Linked DNA regions of Daphnia pulex. Each later gene encodes a partner of the first gene's protein in a complex. Links are inferred from orthologs where the notes say so. Each region holds a gene or a part of one and is shown on either strand. Other genes may lie near its edges.

Region 1 (6,246 bases):
TAAAACGCCATTTGAAGCATGTGAAGCTCCCCCATCTGGTTTGATTGCTGCTAGCCAGTTTTGTATTCGTTTCGGTAAATATCTTATTTAATTCATGCAACTAAGACTGAATTTTGCATTCCTTTGAACCACACTAGCTCTACTTAGCTTATAGTGGCCAAGCGGACATGCTAAATTAAAATTTATTCTGATCTACCGTTGTCTCCTTATTTGGAACACATGGATTGAACCGAATTAAAACATTTGATAGTAGTAACATAAAGTAATTGATGTTGAAGGCACTGAGGCACACTGTGGATAATTTGTTGAAGTGTGCTTTAAATGGTTTTCTATGATGTTGAAATGCTAATTCTTATTCTGTTGTTGTACAGGAACCCTCACATCGCTACCTGAAGTTGCAGATTTCCTGGTGAAATAATTCTGTTTGGTGTATTTTATAGTATCTATATTGACAAATAAACAATTTTTAAAATTACATTCTGGCAAATTGTAACTAGTGAAAATTAAAACAAATTAATTTGTAGATAACTATATTCAGCGTTAAATTGTTGGTTGAATCATGGTTGGATGATGAATCTCATCAAGAGACAGGCTGTTGCTATTCTAATAGATTATGGCTTTTGACTGAGATAATATAATGTTAACTGTAAGTAGGGTACCATGAAAAGCTGTAAATATTAACATGTAACCTTTTACTTGATTCTTGTTTTTACAATCTTACGATTCTGTTTAAAAGGGGTTCCTCGTTAGCACATAAGCCTACTTTTCGCACTGAACTCGCTCATGAAATCATTTCTTCCTGATATGGTTGGGATAAATTATATTGGTAAAATTTTCAAGTTCGCATCGATGTATTGGACCACACACTTGTTAGCACGGGAATTTTTAGACGAAGGGAAAATTGTAGCCTAAGAGAACATTTTATCGAACAATTTCAAGGGCAGTTGAAACCCATTTGAGTTATCTGAAGTTATGTGCATCCAAGAGCTGTTTAGTAGTTTTCTGAAAATCACAGCTTTATTAGAAAGTTAATGGACTGTTTACTTATTAGTCCTTGTCTTCATCTTTGTAGTGGCGGTATTCCGGTTTCAGTTCCCACATGTTTTTGTGAGGATTCTTCAAATTGTATACACAAACATCCTTCAAAATTTCCTTGAGGTAGGTCTATAAAAGCAGAGGGTTTTAAAAGTGCAAATGCTTGTATGAAAACAACTTTTTCTTACCACAGGTTGGTTGGTGAGTTTTACCAAGTCCTTGATGTTGTAGTACTGATGCTTTTCAAAAGCTGCAAACAGCATGTCCATAACTTTGCCCTTATCATCTCTGGCTTTCTTACCCTCAGCTTTCTTCTTTTCGTCGAATTCTTTCTGTAATCAGGAATAAAAGGTTATGATGTACCAAAAATAGACGAGAATTGCTATATTTACATTATGCTTGTGGTCAGAGATGGGTTTGTAACTTTGAACCACTCGATCCAATTGCTTCACAATTCTTGTAGGTTGGGCAGCTTTAATCAAAGAATCCCTTTTGAGTTTCATGTAACTTGCATTTGCTGATGAAAATAAAAATCATTAATGCTCACTTCAAGCTTAGGAACTTTATTTTGTTGGTCTCACCTGTTGGTCTACATTCAAGCTTCTGGGCAACTTTGCCTTCAAATATGATCTTCTCAGTTTCCATAGGTGAGTTCGCGGTGGCTGGAGCTGGGGAAACAATACAAAAATGTCAATATTAAATTAGATTAATTGCAAGCACGCCACTTTAAATATCATGCTTTAAGCTCAGGCCTAAAATAAAAATCTTCCCCATAACTGTCAAGTAGTACGTACTGGTTTGTTGAGAAAATACACCCAATGTTTGTGAAGTAATGTGTGAAACAATCAATCCATGCTCTTTAGGAATAGGTTCCTCTCCTTTTTCCTGGAGACACATAATAGCTTCCGACAGAATAAGTTTGACTTGAGACTTTTGTCCTTGCACCCTGAACAAGAGTTGTAATGAGTTAATAAAGGATTTGTCGATTTGTTAACATAAACCAATTGATGCATACCTAGTAATATTCAGTTGTCCAGCTGTAATATTTCCAGGGCATTTATCCCATCGACTTGAAATGTATTTTGGTACTTTCACCAACCAAACACCCCGACTAGCTGAAGACATTTCCATTTCCCTTTCATAAACGATGACATCTTTGTCTTTCTCCTTGTCTTTCTCTTTTTCTTTCTCCTTTTTCTTTGACTCCATGGTTTTCAGTTTTAAAAATTCTGCTTCAACGTACTAGAAAAACCTATTCAAGAGAATGTAGTTCTAAATATTGGCCGGCTTTAATAAAACAAGTAATCGTTTCTTCTTTCAATCGACAACGTCACACAACTGAAAAGGTCTTCAAGTCTATCGTCTGCTATAAATCGCGCCAGAGCGCGTTCTTTTGTTTTATTAGATAAGTTTACGCAACCATCAGTTCGTCAACGCATTTTTCTTTAATAAAACCCCCCAAAAATCGAAATGGCATGGAAATTTAATGGCCTTAAAAAAAATAACTGATCAAATTTGTTGTTGCACAATCCCTTTAATAAGCTTTTAACAGGAAATAGTTTGATTGGCCAACATTTTTTCATTTAGCTTTTTACTCCTCCTCAAATGTAACCCTGATTGCATATCTCAATGCTCAAATCTCAAATTTGTTTCAGTATGAATTCCCTAATATTATTATTATTATTATTTTCTTGCCTTTCTAGATTTATAGGAATTTGCAAATCAGGACGTCTATCTGTGTAACTTTCAGACGCGGAATAATGTGGTATTTTTCATAACGCCCCGTGAGAAGTGATTCGGAATGTTTGGAATTTTAATAAGTACGAAATCACCGGAATGCCTGGCCAAGTATATAATCGCCCTCTGAAACAAAGCAGAAACTGGGAAACCTCTTTTTGTACTAGTTGGTCTGATTCGATCGGAATATGTATTACCACTTGTAACTGGATTCAAAATCAAACAATTCTACGAAATCGAGAAAGTTATAACAACTAGATTGGTACTTAAGGCGATGTCTTGTGGGGGGACAATGTCCGTCCACTAACTCCTTTTACTATAATTGAGTTCTATCACTAGTACGAATTGCTATACATGTATAACATAGATTTGTCTAAACAAGAGATGGCGAAACGGTAAAAATAAAAAGAGCACAGCAATTTGAAATTCTAAACGGGTTTCCCTTTCTCATGGTGGCCGCTGGTGGCGGAATCAAGAAGCTGACGACCAGGCCAGCACTCCACTCCGTGATCGAATATACAACATACTTGATTGCGCTTTGAAATGGACAGTGCGAGAGAATAGAAACATATATTTTAGTTTGAAAGTTGTATACACTAGTCCAAGATAATTGAAAGAAATTATCTACCGAAGAAAGAACGAATAGGCTATTTTAAATTTGATCATTTTACACTGGTGAGTATAAGCTATAGTGAGTCTAAATATTCTTGTCGAATGCAAACGAACAGAGAATAAAAGTCATAACCCAAGTTGCGGTTATCGCACTTTAAACTGCAATTTGTATTCCAATTAGTACATTCAAGGTGATTAAGAAAATGTGTGAATTAAATATTAGGCTATTAATTCGGTTATTGCGATTTATTAAAAGATATTTCATATTCAACCTATGATTCTTTCATTGTTATTTATTTCATAATAAAATCAAAGAGTAAGAAAACATTTTATGAGCTTTTATGAAAGTAAAGTTGTGCAGCCAACAATCTCAAGTATGCCATCGCTTCAAGACCAACTCTTCCAGGAACACATAAAATCATGAATATTTAATTTCGCCATTCGTCTTCACGGCTAATTTTTCTTGCCTCTTGCGTCTTGCAATGTGTGAGTTCTAATTAGTTTAATTACTATTCTCCAGCTTCCTACCGTCTCCCTCTAAGCCAAAAAATAAAAATAAAATAAAAAACAACTTTTTTTAATTAGTGAACCCATGAAAGTTAAAGAGAAAAAATATGAAGGATGATCCGTGACCGCCCATGTGACTGGATTTAATACGTTATCCTGTCTATTTTAATCTTTACAATAACAATAACAATCTGCAACAATTATGAATAGAGAAATTTCTAATTGATCGCAAAAGTACAGACTACTAAAACAGAAATGACAAATGTGTCGCGCATTATCTGACCTATATATAAACGCCACATCGCTCATTGGCGATCATAAAATGCTACCTTGCCCCCACTAGATAACACAGAAAAATAAGAAAATAAAAAACCGTCACCTGTCGGCCAAATTGGAATCATCGGTTAGCTCACAAAGAATATTCCCTGCTCCACCCCCATCGGTCTTATTTTAAAAAAAGTTCCTACCCTGAAAGTCGTCGTCGTCGGCAACCATCGTCGTTTTCTTTCGGGCTGTTTAAGTATGCTGGGCGCATATACATTGGTTGCTGCGAGTAGTATCATTACGGGCGTAAATAGACATACACCTTTGCGATTTTTATAGCGTGTCGGGAGACTTGTAGCCCAGCGGGAAGAAACGAAAAAAACCGGTTGACGAACGAATAAGTCGCGTAATAAATCATCAACTTTCTCTACCTACAACATGATGACATGAAACGTCCAAGACAGCTGGATTTTTTTCTTTTCTTTCTTTCATTCTATCAAACACTCCCGATTCTTAGAATATCGCCGAGTGGCTGGCACATCAACTCTTATACGTATAGTTGCTCATTGCATAACAATCTTACCCAAAAGGAATATTATAAATCTAAAAGAAAATAAAATACAGGGTCGCTAAATCAAAAATAACCCATTTGTAGATACTGGGAATAAAACTCTGGCTTGATAGTTTCAATCATCGATAACAGTCAAAATGTATAACCTGACATAACCGGTAACTAAAAATTCTAGAAGCGCATCTAGCGAGCAATATATAGAGCTAGTGGCTTGTGTCACCCAGGGTATACAGTATATAGCGCTTATAACAAAATCATGTGTCTAATTCGTAAGTAGGCTAGTGTATACACGTCTAGCTCGAGGCCATGGGAAATAAATGGACCACTTTCCCTGAACCCAGTTACCCAGCGTTTCGCTTCGAGTCATCAGCCAGCCAGCCAGCCACACTCTTCACGGTTGCTGGCATCGCAGGAATTCTCTCCATGCGTAGATACGAAAATACCGTTGCCAAGCAGCGCACTCTATTAGCCGTAAAATTAGAACATCATCAAAAAGATATTTTTTTTTTAATGAGAAAAACTGGGAAAATGCGAAAATGTTTTTCCAAAATTAAAAAAACTAAAAAAAAACTAACGTGACAAGGTGTAATTATACAGGTGAACCCTCGCGTTTCCCTTTTTTGCGTCAGCAGAAACCGGTGGTTATATTCTATCCATGGCGCACATCTATGCAGCGCGCATATGCACACACACACAGCCAGTGCCAAATTGGTGATGAGGGGAAAGTTAATTGACTTATAAGAGCTGGGCGCGAGCGCATTGTTGTTGTTCGCTGGATGTTCCACCGACTTCTGGCCCGTCAAAATGATCAGCCAAAAGTTCTTTTTTTTTCCCATTATGTTGCGCATTCCTGATGTAACGGCCAACATCCATATAAGCGCACAAGCCCACCACCCCCACTAGAAAATAAAAATCGTGGTTTATTTATAGCGCGCCTATCTTTGCATAATCACAACCAAGGGATAGATAGAGAGAGATATGGTCTGTTGAAAAATTCAGTGATATTCCATCAAGCATTTAGGCGAGGGCGACGTTATAATTCGATGACGAAACAGCAGCTCAGCCAAAAAGGGGGTCGTTGACGGCTTGGATGTTGTTTCGCTGTTACATACAAGCTTCGACATAGAGTAAACCTGTTGGACAGGTTGAAAAAGTCGATGGAAAGTTAGGCACAAATGGGCTGCTGGCGCAGGCTCTTTATTTATTTTTGTTTTTCGTCCCATTGGTTTACGACATCTCCGCCAGCTACGCCATAGAGAAAAATATCAAATATGTGACATGGATTTCTGATTGGTCAAGCCCTAATATAACGTCGTCAGCTATCATATACATATAGCCTACTTTTAGAAATGTGATTAGCAAATCAATAAGGGCAGGCATCCGTCCTCGGTTGATCGCACCCGTCGCTTTTCATTTCTTCTTCTCTTGTCCGCCGGTCAAATCCGGGTGGGATTTATCCCAATCTCAAATCTTTACTGCTCGTCTATATACCGGGAAATCTCATTCATCCCATTTGCATC
Region 2 (7,462 bases), on another chromosome or scaffold:
AGATTTCATCGAATCATGCGCCTTGCAAGTCCCCGTTCGACCAAACATCTCCCTTCCTCCTGGTTGTCGCAGCGAGTGAGTGACCACCGGCGGGCGTTGGTTAGTGGTTATTTAGGGAAACGGGGCCACTGAAGAAGGGAGCCCAGATATGCACCTGTAACTGAACGAAACACCAAGCATTACCTCAACACCTGTACAGGTAACAAGAGACGACATATCGACAAAATGCAGCCGATAAAACAAGACCGACAGCCATCAGGCAACATTGACTAACCCAACTTTTCAACACGGCATATACTGCACGGACACAAATATAGGCAAATGACAAATTTAAGTGTGATGTTGAACTGCAAGTGTGAACAAGAATCCATTTCAGAGCATCTCTCAACTGGAAGGGACTGCAAAACCACTGTAGTCCAAACAGCAACACCGTAAACAGCTCAAACCGACCATGAACTCCTACAAAGCAAAAGAACATTAATGAAACTATATGAAATGTGAAAAAGGGTACTGATAATAAAATTTACTTAATTTAAAATTAACAATTAATTTTAATTGAAAAAGATACCAGAAAAGAATTATGTACATCTACTTCCAATATGTTATAAACTTGTTAATACTGAGTGGGAATTTTTGTTCTAGTTTGATGTGAAGGAAATTGTTAACTCAGTGAAAGGCTGAAAGCTGACCAACAATGTAGCTTCCTTTTGAAGAAACAATTATTTGGAAGAAAAAAATGTTACCCTTAATTTTCTTCATCACATAACTTGTCAGTTCAATCAAAATTAAAAAAAAAAAAAAAAAAAACTCAAGACTTCCCAAGTTACAACCAATAATATCAATCAAATTACCAATTCAAGAAGTTTTCCTGCAGTAACACTAGGGATGGGATAACACCAGCTTGATAAACTGCATGCAGCACCTGCAGCTCAACAGGACTCGACCACACCTTTCCCCAGCTGGCTGCAACAAAAACAAAATTAATGATATGACTGCCATGAAGCTCAGACTTTGTCATGTTCTCAACTTCTACAACAGTTGAGCAAAGTGATCTCCATCTCTGATCTGAAAAATCAACTAATAAAACCTATTGCATTATTGCAGAGAAATTGATCAACAAAATTTACTTTACTAGCTCTGAAGTGTTTCTGCACGAGATGAGACGTACAGCTAACAATGACCGACATTTCGACAAAATGGACAACAGTTTCGACCCACGTCGTTACATTATTTGGCCAAGTGAAACTATATGCCAAAATTGCCTGTAAATTCAGACAGAAACGTCATAGATAAAATTTCATGGCTGAAAATGAAGATTGACACTGTAATTACGTTATGAATTTGGAATACACTTTTGGTCAGCGTCTCGGAAACAAATGACAAATATTTCGTCCTCACGAAGACACTCGCGCCACCTGGTGGATGGGGGAAATCCATTTTAGCCACCTACCGACAGCCAAAAGATTCCCTCACGATAAACGAAGCAAGAGCTAACTATTTTCACCACCAGGTTTTGCTAGCCAGTAGCCACCTTATCTGCCTTTATTTACATTTTCATAGAATCGTGTTACAATGTGTAGCGTACCAAGTTGTTACAATAAGTAAACAATAATGACTAATCTACAAAACAGAACATGTATAATTTAATTTCGTAAGATAGTCAGCTTCCCAGCTATTGGGTGTCTATTTTACGCGTGCTCCGTTGTAAGCTATCATCCATCAATTATTCTTTATCTTGCTATTAGCAAACTGATTTACAACACTGCGACAGATATCGTTCTGAGCGATAACACTGCATAGCAAAATGCAGCTCACTATGATTCAAACACCAATATCTGCTGATGGCTCGCAGTCAACTAGTTCTAACATGGATTTCATCCTCGAAAAAATCTGGAACAAACCAAATGCTCCTCTTGAAGAGTTCTTTGGTATTATTTTTTTTTCACCCACATATTAAATTTAGAGGAAACATGTTACCTATAATAAAAATATTCAATGCCCAATACATCTAGAAATGTGGTACAACGTTTTCTTGTGGGCAATGTTTTCTTCCATCTTCATTCATTCCGTTGCTGCCATAATTGCATTTCTGACATTAAGGAAGCATGCAGTTGGAAGGTAAAATATACCTAAGCATTCCACATATTCTGTTACAACTAAATATAATCTTTTGGCAATAGGTTTTACTCCATCATAATTCTTTTGATGGGAATTATCACACCTCTAACAACAGGTGCAGTGACAAGCGCAGTTGTGTCATTTGTGTATGAAAACTCAGGACTAGTCATGGCTAGATGGCATGTTGCACTTTGGGGTGTGGGACAAACATTCTGCAGTGCTTGTTTTGGCTTCACTAGAATTCTTGCAGTATTATAGATCACCAATGTATTTTTCATATTCACCATATTTTGCTGTGCTACATAAGTTCCTTTTTTACTCCATGTCCACCTGAGATCTTATAAGACAAATTAAATAAGTTTGATGATATTCGGCTTTACTTAATTCTTCGTGTATTAATTGCATTAATACAAAACCATTACAATTATTTCGAACAAAATGGAAAATCAGTTGATGGCGAGGGCATCGTTTTGCACTTCGTGGCTCAATTGGGTCTGCAAATCAGAAAGTTTCTTCTTGAGAATAGCGATTCCCATTAAGACAATATTTTCTGGTCGTAAAGATCCACAAGATTCCACGTTAACAAAAAATTTGTTAGGTTTGCCATCAGGATCGTATGGGGCTTCATCTAAAAATAAATAAATAAAAATTCAAATAAAACTAGTTAAACCATAAAAATTCGTTTAAAAATTACGTTGATCTGATTCGCCCAGCTCCGAATATTCACTCCTTGGCCATTCTTCAGGTTTCGGGAACAAAGTATGCCTCAATGAATTATCAGGGTCGTACTCAAAGGCCACTCCAGCTGTTGGATTCCATTTTGCATGTTCTTTACCAAAACCTAAAAAAAAATATATATTTTCAAGAAGGAGAAACAAATTGAACTGCAACAAAATTTACCTTTCTTGGCATATGCCCGCATTTTGAGTTCTTGTCCTTTACGAAGCTTGACAATTAAAATTTCTAAAACAAACAAAAAAATTTATAATCAAACTCAGATTCCAAACTTTAGAAATGTTCTGCAGTACCATTATCATTGTCATCTGGTGGCTCTTCATCCCGTTTGGAGGTAGCTGGAACCACTCTTGGATCAGTACTCTTTAGATCAGCAGTGGTGACATTGCGTGTAACATCCTCAGAACATTTAACATCCAAAGTGAACTCCACTGAGCAATCAACACAGAAATCTGGACAAGTGCAGTCTCTGGAATACTGCATCTTTTCAACAGAGTCATCACTAGTCAGTGGAATAAGACCCACACGATGTGCCAAAAATTCATCAAACAAGACAGTGGAATTTGCTTCAAACTGGACCCAATCAATGGCTAATGTAGGGGTTTCAGCAATGAAGACTCGCCTCAGAGAGTTTGCTACACTGAAATGTGATAAAGGCATGATATAAATGTTCTCATTACCAACAATTTAAGTAAATACCTAAGGTCTGTGTCTGAAATCTGAAATTTAACATTTTCCTCTGTTAGTTCGGTCAATTTGAGATTTGGTTGATTGGCGTAGGGCATTCTTAAGTAAGTTGTATTATTCAAAACAACAAACGTTAAGAATAATTACTTGCCGGCTTCTCGTTTCGACTCTCGCTTCCTTCTGCAAGTCTGCAACAAGCTAGCCCAAACAATGAGTCGTGTACAAGAACCTCCTTATTCTGTCACCAGATGGCAGGTATTACGAAGGCTGTGCGGGAAAATTTCATTTTTCTAAAAATTGAAATTTTTTCTAAAATTTTGGAAGTTTAATGTTGAAGATGTTGATTGCGTATTATTGGTTTGTAGATTTATTTTTTGATGAAAGAATTCGATACACCGTTTCCATTATTTAGAAATTGTTTCGACTAAATATTGGGAAATATAAACCATGTTTTGTTTTCCTCTCCTATCGCGCATCAGAATGTGCGCCGCTTTTAACGGCTTAACCAACGTAAATTGACTCACCAGACTGTTCATATTTATTTTGAAGTGCAATTCACTTTTTGAATACAGTGTTGAAATAGTTATTGTTTATATTTAGATATCATAACTTGGCTTTCTTCAGATTTTTAACTTGTGAAATTCTTTTCGGTTCAGGTGCGACGAAATGGCGTCAAACGAATCGTCCGATCCAAGGTCCAAAAAGTTACCGGTATCGAAGGAAGTACAGGAAGTTCGCCATGATGGATTGAGGATCTGATGACACGTCACCCAATATTACGACATTCCAATTGCGCGGGTCCCAATCTGGAAGAAACTTTGGCTAAACGCGGTTAACTGTTTAGAAAGAATTTTTTTTTTTTCAATCAACGAATAAAAATCTCATTCTAGATGACAGTTGTATGTTTGGCATCACGGAAATATTACACAGCTAATGATATTAAAATAAAAAAAATGAAAAAATAAAAACTACACGCATATCATAATAATTAAATGATGAGAACCCAAAGTTATTTTTATCAAAATGTGGTGTACAGCCGGAAGTGTGGGAAATATAAGGAAACATAAAAAAAGAAATTTTTTGACATGTACATAAATTTAAAAAAACCCAAGGTTACGTAAGGATAATGCAAAATTCCGCAATCTCTCTTTCTCAAAAAAAAGAAAGAAAAATCTAAATTTATACCAAATGAGTATCTGTTTGTTTTTTTCAATACCGTATGCAAATTGTATGCATTATGCACATCGACGTCGGTTCTTTTTCACTTGAAAAAGAAAAATGAAGGAAACCAATACTCGAAGGTAATCATATCGTTTCTTGCCGTCCAGTTTTTGAATTCAAATTATCATTCAAAATCTACGAAACGGGATCAATTTTCATCGTAGAATAAAAAAGGAAAGCGAACAGAGTCGAGGGATCAAAAGTAATTTGAACATTGTACATCCCCCGCTGTATATTCCCCCCCCCCCAACACACCAGTAAACTTTGACTTTTTAAAATACAAAAACCAAAGATTATGTCATCAAACGCGTCAAAAGCCATGTAATATTAAGGACTGAGCTGAGGAGGGACGATTGGGGCAAAGGTAGAGAGTAGGAGCTGCTAAATCCTTGCCATTCGATATACTTAGTTTATAGGTGTCTACCTGGGGGGCTTCTCGAAGGAAATGCTAAACACACACGTAAAGCCATAGAGATATAAAGTTGGAGGAACTGGTATAAGGGGGAGGATGAGAGAACGGCCACTCAATATTATTCTAATTAGCGCACAATATTTCTGGAACCGAGGGTTATTATATAAGAGGAAAAGAAAAAATATGTACAAAAAGATTACTATCATCTTTAAAAAAAAATCTTATCAGGCCCCAATGAAAGAAATATATGAATCAAAATTAAAATTTTTAAAAATTCGGCTTTTTATTTTGTTTGAAAAAACTTATATCAGCGCTGGCCTCCCTTAATTTGATTTTTTTTGTTTTTATTTTTATTATTTTTATTTTAATTTTCTTTACAAACTGATTGAGAGAGATGTGTGACGAGTAAAAAAAAATGAGTCGGGGGAATAAAATGGAGTCCTCAAACTCAAAACTCCTCATGATAGAAAAAAAAGAGTTTAAACTTAATTCCCTCCGTTATTTTGTTTTACTTGGAAAAAAGAAAGAAAGTAAATTCGAATTGATAAGAACGGCTTTTGTATGTATAGCTGGGGGGCTGGGCAACGGTTGCGAAGGAGAATTTTCCCTTTTATCTTTTGAAATATTTCTAGAATAAGAAATAAAATAAAATAAAATAAAAAAATGGTAACTCGTATTTAGATGTAGATGTTGGCGGACGCCAGTGCGGCGATCAATAGAGTGAGGAGCGAGTGACAGAGTAGCTGCTGCTGGGCCGGAGCTGAGTTGAGAACGGGCACGGCCGCGGCTACGAGTTTCTTGGTTTTCTCGACCTGGACGTCGGCGTAGTCTCCGGTGCCGGCCGCAGTGCGTGCTGCAACCCTCACTTCGTAAGTCGTATCCTGCTGCATTCCGGCGACTCTGTACGGCTGGCTGGGCACTGTTTTATGTCATCAAGTTAACGACAAAAACAAGAAAAAACAAAACACACACAGACGGATTTAGGCATTAGAATCTGAAACTTTTTCCCAGCTGATGTAGTAGAAACGAATGGTAAATGCTATGCGGATTGACTTGAGCGGATGAGAGGAAGTGCAACGATGAATAATAATATCAGTTTCCAAGTTTGCCTTTTTCTTACTTCTTTCGAATTCTTTTTCTTGTGCCCGGCTCCACTCCTGGGACGCTTGTTTGAACTGCACCACGTAGCCGGTCACGTCCATTGGATTCCGGACGCCAGCGTCCTGACCTCGATCCGAGACCACGTCCGATTCTTCAATCTCCAAAACGAAACTATCCGGGTGTGTAATCTAGCGGAATGACAAACAAGTATATCAAGGATGAGGGGCTATCATTAGTCACGATGTCACGAACGCCACAATATTGATTGCATTAGTCAGATACACTAGGTTGGATCCTTCCGCTCTATAGAGTTCCCGGAAGTCAAACTATTATTTATTATTATTCCTGAACTGCGATCCGCAGCGGAGTAGAGAGAGAAACTGACTTTGATTTTGAAAGTAGGAGCTGAGGGTTTGGTGGCCTGTTCCAGGACGATGACGCGGGCCATGGTGCCCAGCATGTTGGTGGCCCGGCACTCGTAGTCGCCAAAGACGGACTCGTCGTAAATGTAAAGTTGGAGCGAGCTGTGATGATCCGAATTGAAGATCTGGACGTCGTCGCTGGGATGCAGCGTCTTGTTGTCCTTGATCCAAATGAAATCGGCGCCGGGCTCGGCCACGGCCGAGCACGTCATGTTGACAGTGCCGCCAATAAAACCATAAGCTTCTTTGGTGTGATCCTTGAACCAACGTGGTTCGTCTGCACGACACGACACGAAAGAAAAATAAAATTGAATGAAAGAAGGAAGAAAAATCAATAACGCGGGAGCTGAAAAAGAGACTCACGTTGAATTTTCAAAGTGATGTTCATCTCCCTGAAGTCGGCAATCATCGGATTGGACTGCGTAGCTCTGCAGACGTAGAGTCCGCCGTCATCCAGCGTCACTTCCTTGATGTTGAGATTGTTATCGATTACCTTGTGGCGCGGCGCTGTGGATAAGAAAAATAGAAAAGAAAATGAGAAAATAGAAGAATTAAATGTTGAATCGACTATTAACGAGAAAATCACGCCTCCATCACAGACGGTATATATTGGTGATTTACTAGGCTCTCTATCTCTATTTATAGATCACGATTTTCTTTTGCTTTCGTTTTTCTCTTCCGGCGGGGAGGGTCATCTAGGAAATTGATTGTTTGTGTTTTTGGGTTATTCGGGATCCCCTGCGTGACAACGGCCCATCCCTGTCGA

Evidence for each region. The genes of interacting proteins can lie anywhere in the genome.
Region 2: general transcription factor IIF subunit 2-like (region 1) and DNA-directed RNA polymerase II subunit RPB3-like share a complex: the UniProt entries of both Homo sapiens proteins name them as parts of the TBP-based Pol II pre-initiation complex. The link is inferred for Daphnia pulex from reciprocal best matches to the Homo sapiens genes GTF2F2 and POLR2C.

The regions. Positions count from the first base shown.
Region 1 is NC_060025.1:403,571-409,816, reverse strand, and holds general transcription factor IIF subunit 2-like, read right to left. Parts: upstream 2,399-6,246; 5' UTR 2,245-2,398; coding exon 2,051-2,244; intron 1,982-2,050; coding exon 1,830-1,981; intron 1,704-1,829; coding exon 1,617-1,703; intron 1,553-1,616; coding exon 1,428-1,552; intron 1,368-1,427; coding exon 1,224-1,367; intron 1,165-1,223; coding exon 1,048-1,164; 3' UTR 833-1,047; downstream 1-832. UniProt on the Homo sapiens protein: TFIIF is a general transcription initiation factor that binds to RNA polymerase II and helps to recruit it to the initiation complex in collaboration with TFIIB.
Region 2 is NC_060024.1:10,721,846-10,729,307, forward strand, and holds DNA-directed RNA polymerase II subunit RPB3-like, read right to left. Parts: upstream 3,746-7,462; 5' UTR 3,639-3,745; coding exon 3,553-3,638; intron 3,494-3,552; coding exon 3,147-3,493; intron 3,082-3,146; coding exon 3,019-3,081; intron 2,960-3,018; coding exon 2,813-2,959; intron 2,747-2,812; coding exon 2,565-2,746; 3' UTR 2,494-2,564; downstream 1-2,493. Other genes in the region: transmembrane protein 170A-like, read left to right, coding at 1,805-1,928, 2,013-2,118, 2,181-2,376; neural cell adhesion molecule 1-like, read right to left, coding at 5,851-6,092, 6,294-6,462, 6,660-6,973, 7,060-7,203. UniProt on the Homo sapiens protein: Core component of RNA polymerase II (Pol II), a DNA-dependent RNA polymerase which synthesizes mRNA precursors and many functional non-coding RNAs using the four ribonucleoside triphosphates as substrates.